2 linked regions of the Ovis aries genome follow. The protein of the gene in region 1 interacts with the protein of each later gene in a pairwise test. Links are inferred from orthologs where the notes say so. Each region holds a gene or a part of one and is shown on either strand. Other genes may lie near its edges. The genes, in order: NIPBL and MAU2.

Evidence for each region.
Region 2: the proteins of NIPBL (region 1) and MAU2 interact in binary tests that used the Homo sapiens proteins (3 or more experiments, as listed by UniProt). The link is inferred for Ovis aries from reciprocal best matches to the Homo sapiens genes NIPBL and MAU2.

What each region holds. Positions count from the first base shown.
Region 1 is NC_056069.1:37,326,655-37,330,219, forward strand, and holds part of NIPBL (nipped-B-like protein), read right to left. Parts: intron 2,577-3,565; coding exon 2,302-2,576; intron 467-2,301; coding exon 292-466; intron 1-291. UniProt on the Homo sapiens protein: Plays an important role in the loading of the cohesin complex on to DNA. Forms a heterodimeric complex (also known as cohesin loading complex) with MAU2/SCC4 which mediates the loading of the cohesin complex onto chromatin.
Region 2 is NC_056058.1:3,776,666-3,781,041, reverse strand, and holds the start of MAU2 (MAU2 chromatid cohesion factor homolog), read left to right. Parts: upstream 1-1,268; 5' UTR 1,269-1,286; coding exon 1,287-1,562; intron 1,563-4,376. Other genes in the region: SUGP1 (SURP and G-patch domain-containing protein 1), read right to left, coding at 890-923. UniProt on the Homo sapiens protein: Plays an important role in the loading of the cohesin complex on to DNA. Forms a heterodimeric complex (also known as cohesin loading complex) with NIPBL/SCC2 which mediates the loading of the cohesin complex onto chromatin.

The sequences.
Region 1 (3,565 bases):
TCCCTGCATTTGCCTATTCTTAAAGACATTTTTAAAGCATAATTAATACACTCACATACACACTTGTTAAATGGGTATTTACATACATATATATACACGTATGTGTGTGTGTGTGTGTGTGTATATATATATATACTTGTACTGCTTCTGTAAGAAAACATGAACAAGTTGTGACACTGGTTGCCAGAAGGAAAAGGAACAGAAAAGGCTAAAGACAGTAGCCCTCTCAAAAGTATTCACATTTTAAAAAGTCATTACCAAAATGAAACATATTTTGGTTTTACTACTCACATCTAGGTACTGTTTTACTATACTCCTCTTCACATCTTCAGTGATTTTGGAATTAGCCATATCACTCCGCAGGAAGTCCAGTGTTTGCTTGGGATGAAAATGAACTCCTGTTTTCCGGTTTATCGCTTTATCGTACACTTTTGCAGATTCAGATGGAGAATATTTCTGAATTTTACTGTTTTAGGAAAATAAAACCATTAATGTAAAAAATTTTTTCAGACATTTACATTTAAATGGATTCTAGTTAAGTTTTATTTACTTATAACTAAACTTTCTGTCATACAGATTTTAACCAGTGAAACTGTATACACAATAATTTTTAAAAGGGAAGTAAAGACACAAAATCAAAGATTAAAGAGTGCTATTCTCTTGCTTTCCTCAGTGCTTGTCTTGAATCGAGGCACCTTTTAAATGAAAGTAGTTTCTCATGTCTGTTTTCCAGTACCATGACTGTGACTGTAGCATAGGTTTAATATAATCACTCAGTGCTACCTAAGTGGCTTACCTTCTTCTTCTAAGATTTTTCATTCTCTACACGGCCAGAATGATTGTTTACAGACCTGCTTCATATTATTAACAACTTTATTTCAAAATCTTTCCATCTCCTTAGCACTGCTCCAAGATTTTACAAGGTTTTAAATTATTTTGAATTACAGGCATACCTTGGAGACATTACAGGTTTGGTTCCAGACCATTGCAATAAAGCAATTATTGCAATAAAGTGAACCACATCAATTTTTTGTTTCCCAATGAATATAAAGGTTACATTTACAGCATACTGTAGTCTACTTAAAGTGGGCAACAGCATTATGTTGAAAAACGTACATATACAATTAAAAAATACTTTATTGCTAAAAAGTATCATGAGTCTCCAGTGAATTGTAATCTTTTGGCAATGGTAACATCAAAGATGACTGATCAAAGACCATCATTAAAAAAACAATGAAAAACATTTAAATATTGTTGAATAACTACAAAATGTGAGAGACACAAAGGGAACAAATGCTGTTGGAAAAATGGAGCCAACAGACTTGCATGAAGCAAGATAGCCACAAACCTTCAATTTGTATAAAATGTAGTATCTGTGAAGTGCAATATAACACAGTAGGTCCTACAGCTGCTAGTATTTAACATCAAGGTTTTTCCATTAACATCTGGATTTTCTAGTTGCCCTTGAAAGAAATGGAAGCTTTGGCCACACTGTTCCCACCTTCTCCCATGGCAACAAGCTGATGAATATCTGAACCCCAAATGTGTTCTTTTCATTGTGCTAATGACCTACCTGGGTGCACTTTATTCATTTATCTGTCCCTATGAACATTTAACGTCATAAGGTTTCAATGAATGTGAAAAATGTCCAACATTCCATGGGTACAGGCAGTGTAGTGATTGATGACGAATAAAATTATAGTGCAAAGTTATTAGTACTTTTCTATCTCTTACCTTGATAGTGTACATTAAAGACTACTGGATCCTGTTAGAACTTAGCCTAGCTGGTCTGCATCTATTTATTCTTCATTCACAGCTCTTTAAAAACTTGAATTTGCCATCTTATTTTTTTAATATTTACTTGTATTGATTTTATTTATTTTGCTGTGCTGGGTCTTGGTTGTGGCATGTGGGATCTAGCTCCTTGACAAAGGATCAAACCCAGGCCTCCTGCATTGGGAGTGCAGAGTCTTAGCCACTGGACCACCTGGGAAGTCCCTGCCATCTATTTTTAAGGTTAGCCTAATTCTCTAATATCTTTTTAGGGAAGCCAACATAATAAGTCTTTTAATTTATGATGCATTATCTTCAATTAGAAGAATATAGCTCTCCTCTCTTCAATAACAGAATGCACAAATTATGGTATATTATACAACAAAAACACTATTAGCAGTTAAAAGGAACAAACTCCTTTTTATAAAAAAGGATTTTTAATATTCAGCATGCAATCAAAACTGAGTTTCATATTTCTTCATTATTTGAAGTCAGCAAGTTTTTCTTTCACTGCTTATATAATCTTACCTATCAGAAAATCCACAGAGATTCTTCAAATGTTGTTTTAACATCAGAAGCAATAAAATACCCTGGGAGACATTTGCAAACTCAATTAAAGGAGCTGAATTTTCTGGCAAACATTTCATCACCGAATTTATATCATCTTCTGAATCCGAATCTGAATCCGAATCTACACGTTTCCGTGACTTTCGAGGCCTGGAGACTTCTTCTTCACTCTCGCTTGACTCATTTTCCTTACCAGGAGATGATTTTCTCTCTTTCCTTTTGTCTTTTACCATAGACTGAAAAAAAGAGGAAATTATTCTGTCTAAAAAATAATAAAATGAAAATACCACTAACAACTATACATATGCTTCCTTCAACAGGTTCAAACGCACCCGCAATTTAATGTTCCATATATCAAAACTCTCTTTCTGTGAACAACTGGGGATGTAACCCTTAGGGAGAAAATAATGTTCCAAGACTAAATAAAATCCACTGCAACTACTGTGCCACTCTCCCTAAACCCTTCTGGAATGTCATTCCAAGGGAAAGAATTTTCTTATACGATAGCAATGAAAGATAAATTATAGAAGTAACAATCTTGTATATAGGTAAGCCATTATAGAGGAAAAGAAGTAATTATAATTTAATTATAGGAAAATATAATAGGTCTTGAATTCCCCCACCTTCTTTTAAACTCTCCCATTTAAGAACTTTTTAGCAACATAACATGCAGTTTTTCTTAAAAAATTAAATTGTTTCTTTGTACTTTATGAAACCGTTAGCTTTTTAAAAGAAACAAAGCCAACTGGTTTCCAGAGGTGGAAAAGATCAGATTACAAAGCAATATTCAAAATACAGCTGTTAAGAAATAAAACAGGAGAAACATGAACAAGTATATTTACAACAGTTAATGAAGTAAAATAAGATAACACGATGGATCAAGTTCCTGGGAAATGATTAACCTCTTAAACCTCAATGTGCATATTAAACACCTAGGCATTTTATCAACAATGCAAACACTGTGTCAGCAGGTCTAGGGCGGGCCTAAGGTTCTACACGTCTAACAAGCTCTCAGGTGAGGCTGGTGCTACTGGTTCTGGTCTGCACTTCAAGTAGCAAGGGTTCAGATACCTCTGTAATTCTAACTCTTAGGTATTAAAATAATCTCCCTAATTTATGAGTTTGACCAGGCTGAGTTTTGGGCACAACGATACTGTAAAATGAGAATTTTTACTTGTATCATCAGGTACATGAAAATATTCCAACTAATTTACAAAGAATGTAA
Region 2 (4,376 bases), on another chromosome or scaffold:
CACTCTGAAAGCTGATTTTGAAGACCCTGCCAGAGAGAACCCCCTTCCCACTTCCAGTTCATCCCTGATATTCCTCAAAATAACAAACCCTCAAGGCCTTTACACTTGCTGTCCCTCTCTCCATGGAAGGCTCTGCCTTCCAATAGCTGGCACCTTCTCATCTCAAATGTCTTCTGCTCAAAAAGGCCTTCCGTGACCACTCAATCTCAGCAGCCTGCATTTCCGCTCTCTCAAGTCACTATAACTAACTCTCTGTAAATATTTCCTCTTTGTGCATTGTATGATGCCTTGGTGAAAGTAACCTTCAGTAAGACACGACCCCATTTTGGATACCACTGTATCCTCGACAACTAACACTGTGCCTAGCACATTTGTTGAATGCATCCCAGTCTCGGGGCGCCAGAACTGGGAGAGAGGGAGAGGCAAGGTTTATGGTAAAAGGGGGGCTCTAAAGACCCAGGAAAATGTGTACAGGGAATCAGAGTGCAGTTCGGAAAAGCAGCTTTTCCAGAAAGTGGGATAGAGGCGAGGAAGGAGCTTAGTAGAAGAGAGGGGCGCAGAAGAGTCGAAGGTTGCCGCTGGCTCGGGGAGCGGAGCTTGGAGCAGCCCTTAAGGCGGTCAGCTCGGAAAGCAGGCGCCGGGCAGATAACCGTGGGGGCCTTTGAGGAAAGCCTGGCGTCCTCACCAAACCAGCAGTGGGGGCGGGGAGGATAACTGGGTCTCGGTGGGGGTCCCAGGAGACTGGGGTGGTGCAAAAGCCGCCTCTTCCAGACGCCCGGAGGCTGAGGCTAAGGGCCAACGGGTTGAGGTAGGCCCGACGGGATAGCGAAGCAAAGACGCGTAGCCTGAGGACCCAGGCGGACGCTTGAGGGTAGGCGGGGGCTGTTACCTGCAACATCCCGGTTGTCCATCTTGAGACTCATCCAATCCCACAATGCTCCGGCGCCACCGGAGGAGGAGGGGGGGGCCTGTTATAGTGCGCGTGGCATGATGGGAGATGTAGTCCGTCCCGGCAAGCCAAGACCTACCATTACTTGGACATCTGGGGTCTTCTCCCCAGGAACGCAAACCTCAGGCCATCGGCAATCTCTGGTCTCAGTTACGCGGACCAGAGAATGTCGCCTTTTCTCAGACCTTCCCGAAGCCGCAGCCACTTCAAACACAAACTACATATTCCAGGATGCTTTGTGCAGCAGCTCTCGCGAGAAAGGCGAGGAGCTCCGGGCCCGCCCCACGCGCCTGTTTCCGCCTCCCTGTGGCGGCGGCTTGTTGTTGTGCAGGCTAAAATGGCGGCTCAGGCTGCGGCGGCTGCTCAGGCTGCGGCGGCCCAAGCAGCGCAGGCCGAGGCGGCTGAGTCGTGGTACCTAGCGCTCTTGGGCTTTGCCGAGCACTTCCGCACTTCCAGCCCGCCCAAGATCCGCCTGTGCGTGCACTGCTTGCAGGCCGTGTTCCCCTTCAAGCCGCCTCAGCGCATTGAGGCCCGAACACATCTGCAGCTCGGCTCGGTGCTCTACCACCACACCAAGAACAGCGAGCAGGCGCGCAGCCACCTGGAGAAGGCGGTGAGCGTGGGCTGGGCCGCGAGGGAGGAGGCGCGGGTTCCTTTCCGGGCTTGAGCTGACGGGCCGCGACCCTGGCGGGCGGGAGCCGCCGACGGGCCGCTCCTCTGGAAACTGGGGCGTGACTTCCGCACGAGCAGCAAGACCCCCAAAGCTGTTAGCCTCTCTGGGGATCCGAGGGCCCCGCCTCGTACCTTACTGGGTATCTCCGGTGACAGCAGAGGCCTAGGACTCGGGATAGGGGAGGGTCCAGGTAACCCCAGGTAACAACAGTCCAGGCATCCTTTGAGAATCTGGAATTTGGCTTCCGAGGAAATCTAGGAAGGTCTCGCCCAGGACATGGACGTCTGAGGACTTCCAGACGGAAGATACTGTGCCCCCATCAGTGATGAGGGGAGTCATAGGCGGGAGGCAGACTCTAGAGACGGTTTGACGTCTTGAAAAAGGCAGAGCTGAGGGTTGCAGGGTTTGGATTCCAGGGCTCAGGACTCCTGCTTTCTCCACAACCACCTGTGACTTCTCTTCCTCCACCATCCGCTGGTCCATCCCCTTCAGAGGGCAGGCCCCATCTTCCCACGATGCCTTGTGGTCTTGGTGCCCCGAAGAATGTGAGAAAGTGGCCGTCCCTCTGCCCTCTGGGGCTGTGGAGTTGTTCCTTTCAGGGCAATACTGTGCTCCTGACAGTGTTTCCATTTGCCATTTACTCAGCTTTATTCAGCTTAGAGGAGAGACTTCTTGAGTAGAATCAACGACCATGTAAAAAATGTCTTGATCCGAGGTAAATCTGAATTCACCTGTGGCTAGTAACAAGTTGCCTTGGGGCAGATAATCAGATCTGTGTTTTGCAGACTGTAGAGTTGGAAGGGGCTTTTGTCCTTGCTTGAGCCACTTCCTTGCGTAAGGAGTGAGGCAGTATGGTCCCTGAGAGGTGAAGTGATTTGCCCAAAGCCACACAGCAAGTTATTAACAGAACTGGTCTCACAGGTAAGCTCAAGACCACCAGGGTGGATGCCACGACATTAAGTCGTCATTTTTGTGAAGTTTGTTTCTTCCGTGCATTCAGCAGGTATTTAATCAGCTCACACTGGGTACCAAGCCCTGTTCTAGGTGCCTCGGGTCAGCAGTGAATAATAAAACAGTCCCCCTGCCCGCATAAGCTTGTGTTTCTGTGAGGGAGACAAACAATGAATATGTCATAAAAGATTAGGCAGTGATCGAAGAACCATTAAACATGTGGACCAGGGTGAAGGTTGGAGTTGACAGGGAGCTATTTTTGGCAAAGGTAATCAGGGAGTCTCTATTTGTGGGAGTGACGTTTGAACAGAGGCCTGAATGAGGTGGAGGAGGCAAGCCTTGAGAACTGCTCCAGGTTTCATGTCAATCCCTTGAAGTACCCCAGTTGTCGATGACTAGTTGATATCAGGGTTTCTCCTAGACAGCAAAGAGGCCGAGAGCAAATGAAGTGTCAGGCTTTGTTGGGTGTATGAAGGGTGGAGGCTGTGACTGCCCAGGCCTGGCAGCCCAGGGCCTTCAATAGGATGCTAGTTATAAAGCTGTCCCTTCTCTCAGTTAACAACAAATCTTGCCACCTCCTTTGTCTGGTCTCCAGGCCATTCAGCCTGTTATTATTTTTTTTCTTTTTTTAATTGAAATATTATGGGGTTTTAAAAAATTTTGTTTGGCCATGCTGTGCAGCTTGTAGGATCTTAGTTTCCCAACTGGGGATTGAACCCGGGCCACAAATCAGTGAATGCACTGAGGAATTCCCAGTTGAAATGTAGTTGACATAACAATACAATAAATCCCCTACATACAAATGAGTTCCGTTCTAAGAGCACATTCACAAGTCCAGTTTATTCTAAGTCCAACAAAGTTAGCCTAGGCACCCAATTAACACAATCGACTGTATAGTACTGTACTAACAGGCTTATAGTACTGTACTAACAGGCTTATAGTACTGTACTAACAGGCTTATAGTACAAATACTATACAATAATACATAAACAGACACACACAAAAACTAGTTTTAATCTTACAGTACAGTACTTTGAAAAGTAGAGTGGCGCAGTACAACAGCTGGCGTACAGGGCCTGGCAGCAGTGCCACCGGCGTCACCCCTGCTTTTGTACTTGCTTCTGAGCATCCTGGGCTTGAAATAGAGAGACTGTACTCTGTACACTGCTGTACAGTAAAGTGCACAGGAGCGCAACCACTTGTAGACGGTGTACTCACGTGATAGAGTACGCCAGACAGGTGAGCTAGCTTCTGAGAGTGGACACAGGAACACACAATCACATCTTTGGAAGGTCGCAACTTGAAGGTTTCGTTTGTAGGTGGCTTACTGTATTGTGTTAGTTTCAGGGATAGTATGTAGAGCTTTGACATTTGCATGCATTGTGGAATGATCACCATAATAAGTTTAGGAACCATCTGACCTCATACAGTTACTACAGTATTACATGGAGCATATTCTTTATGCTGTGCATTACATCTCCATTGGGTTGCTTGTTTCATAACTGGAGATTTGTGCTTCTTAACCACTACCAGCTATTTTGCCCATTTGGCAACCCTTGTTTATTCTCTGTATGTATTAGTATGTTTTTGTTTTGTTTTTTAGATTCCACGTATAAATGAGATCATGCAGTATTTATTTTTCTTTGTCTGGCTGATTTGACTTAGCATAATACTTTCTAAATCCATTTATGTTGTCACAAGTGGCAAGATTTCATATTTTCTTTTAAAGGTTTTTTTTATTTGATGTGGACCTTTAAAAGAATTATTTATTTATTGTCTGTGTTGGGTCTTTGTTGCTGCTAG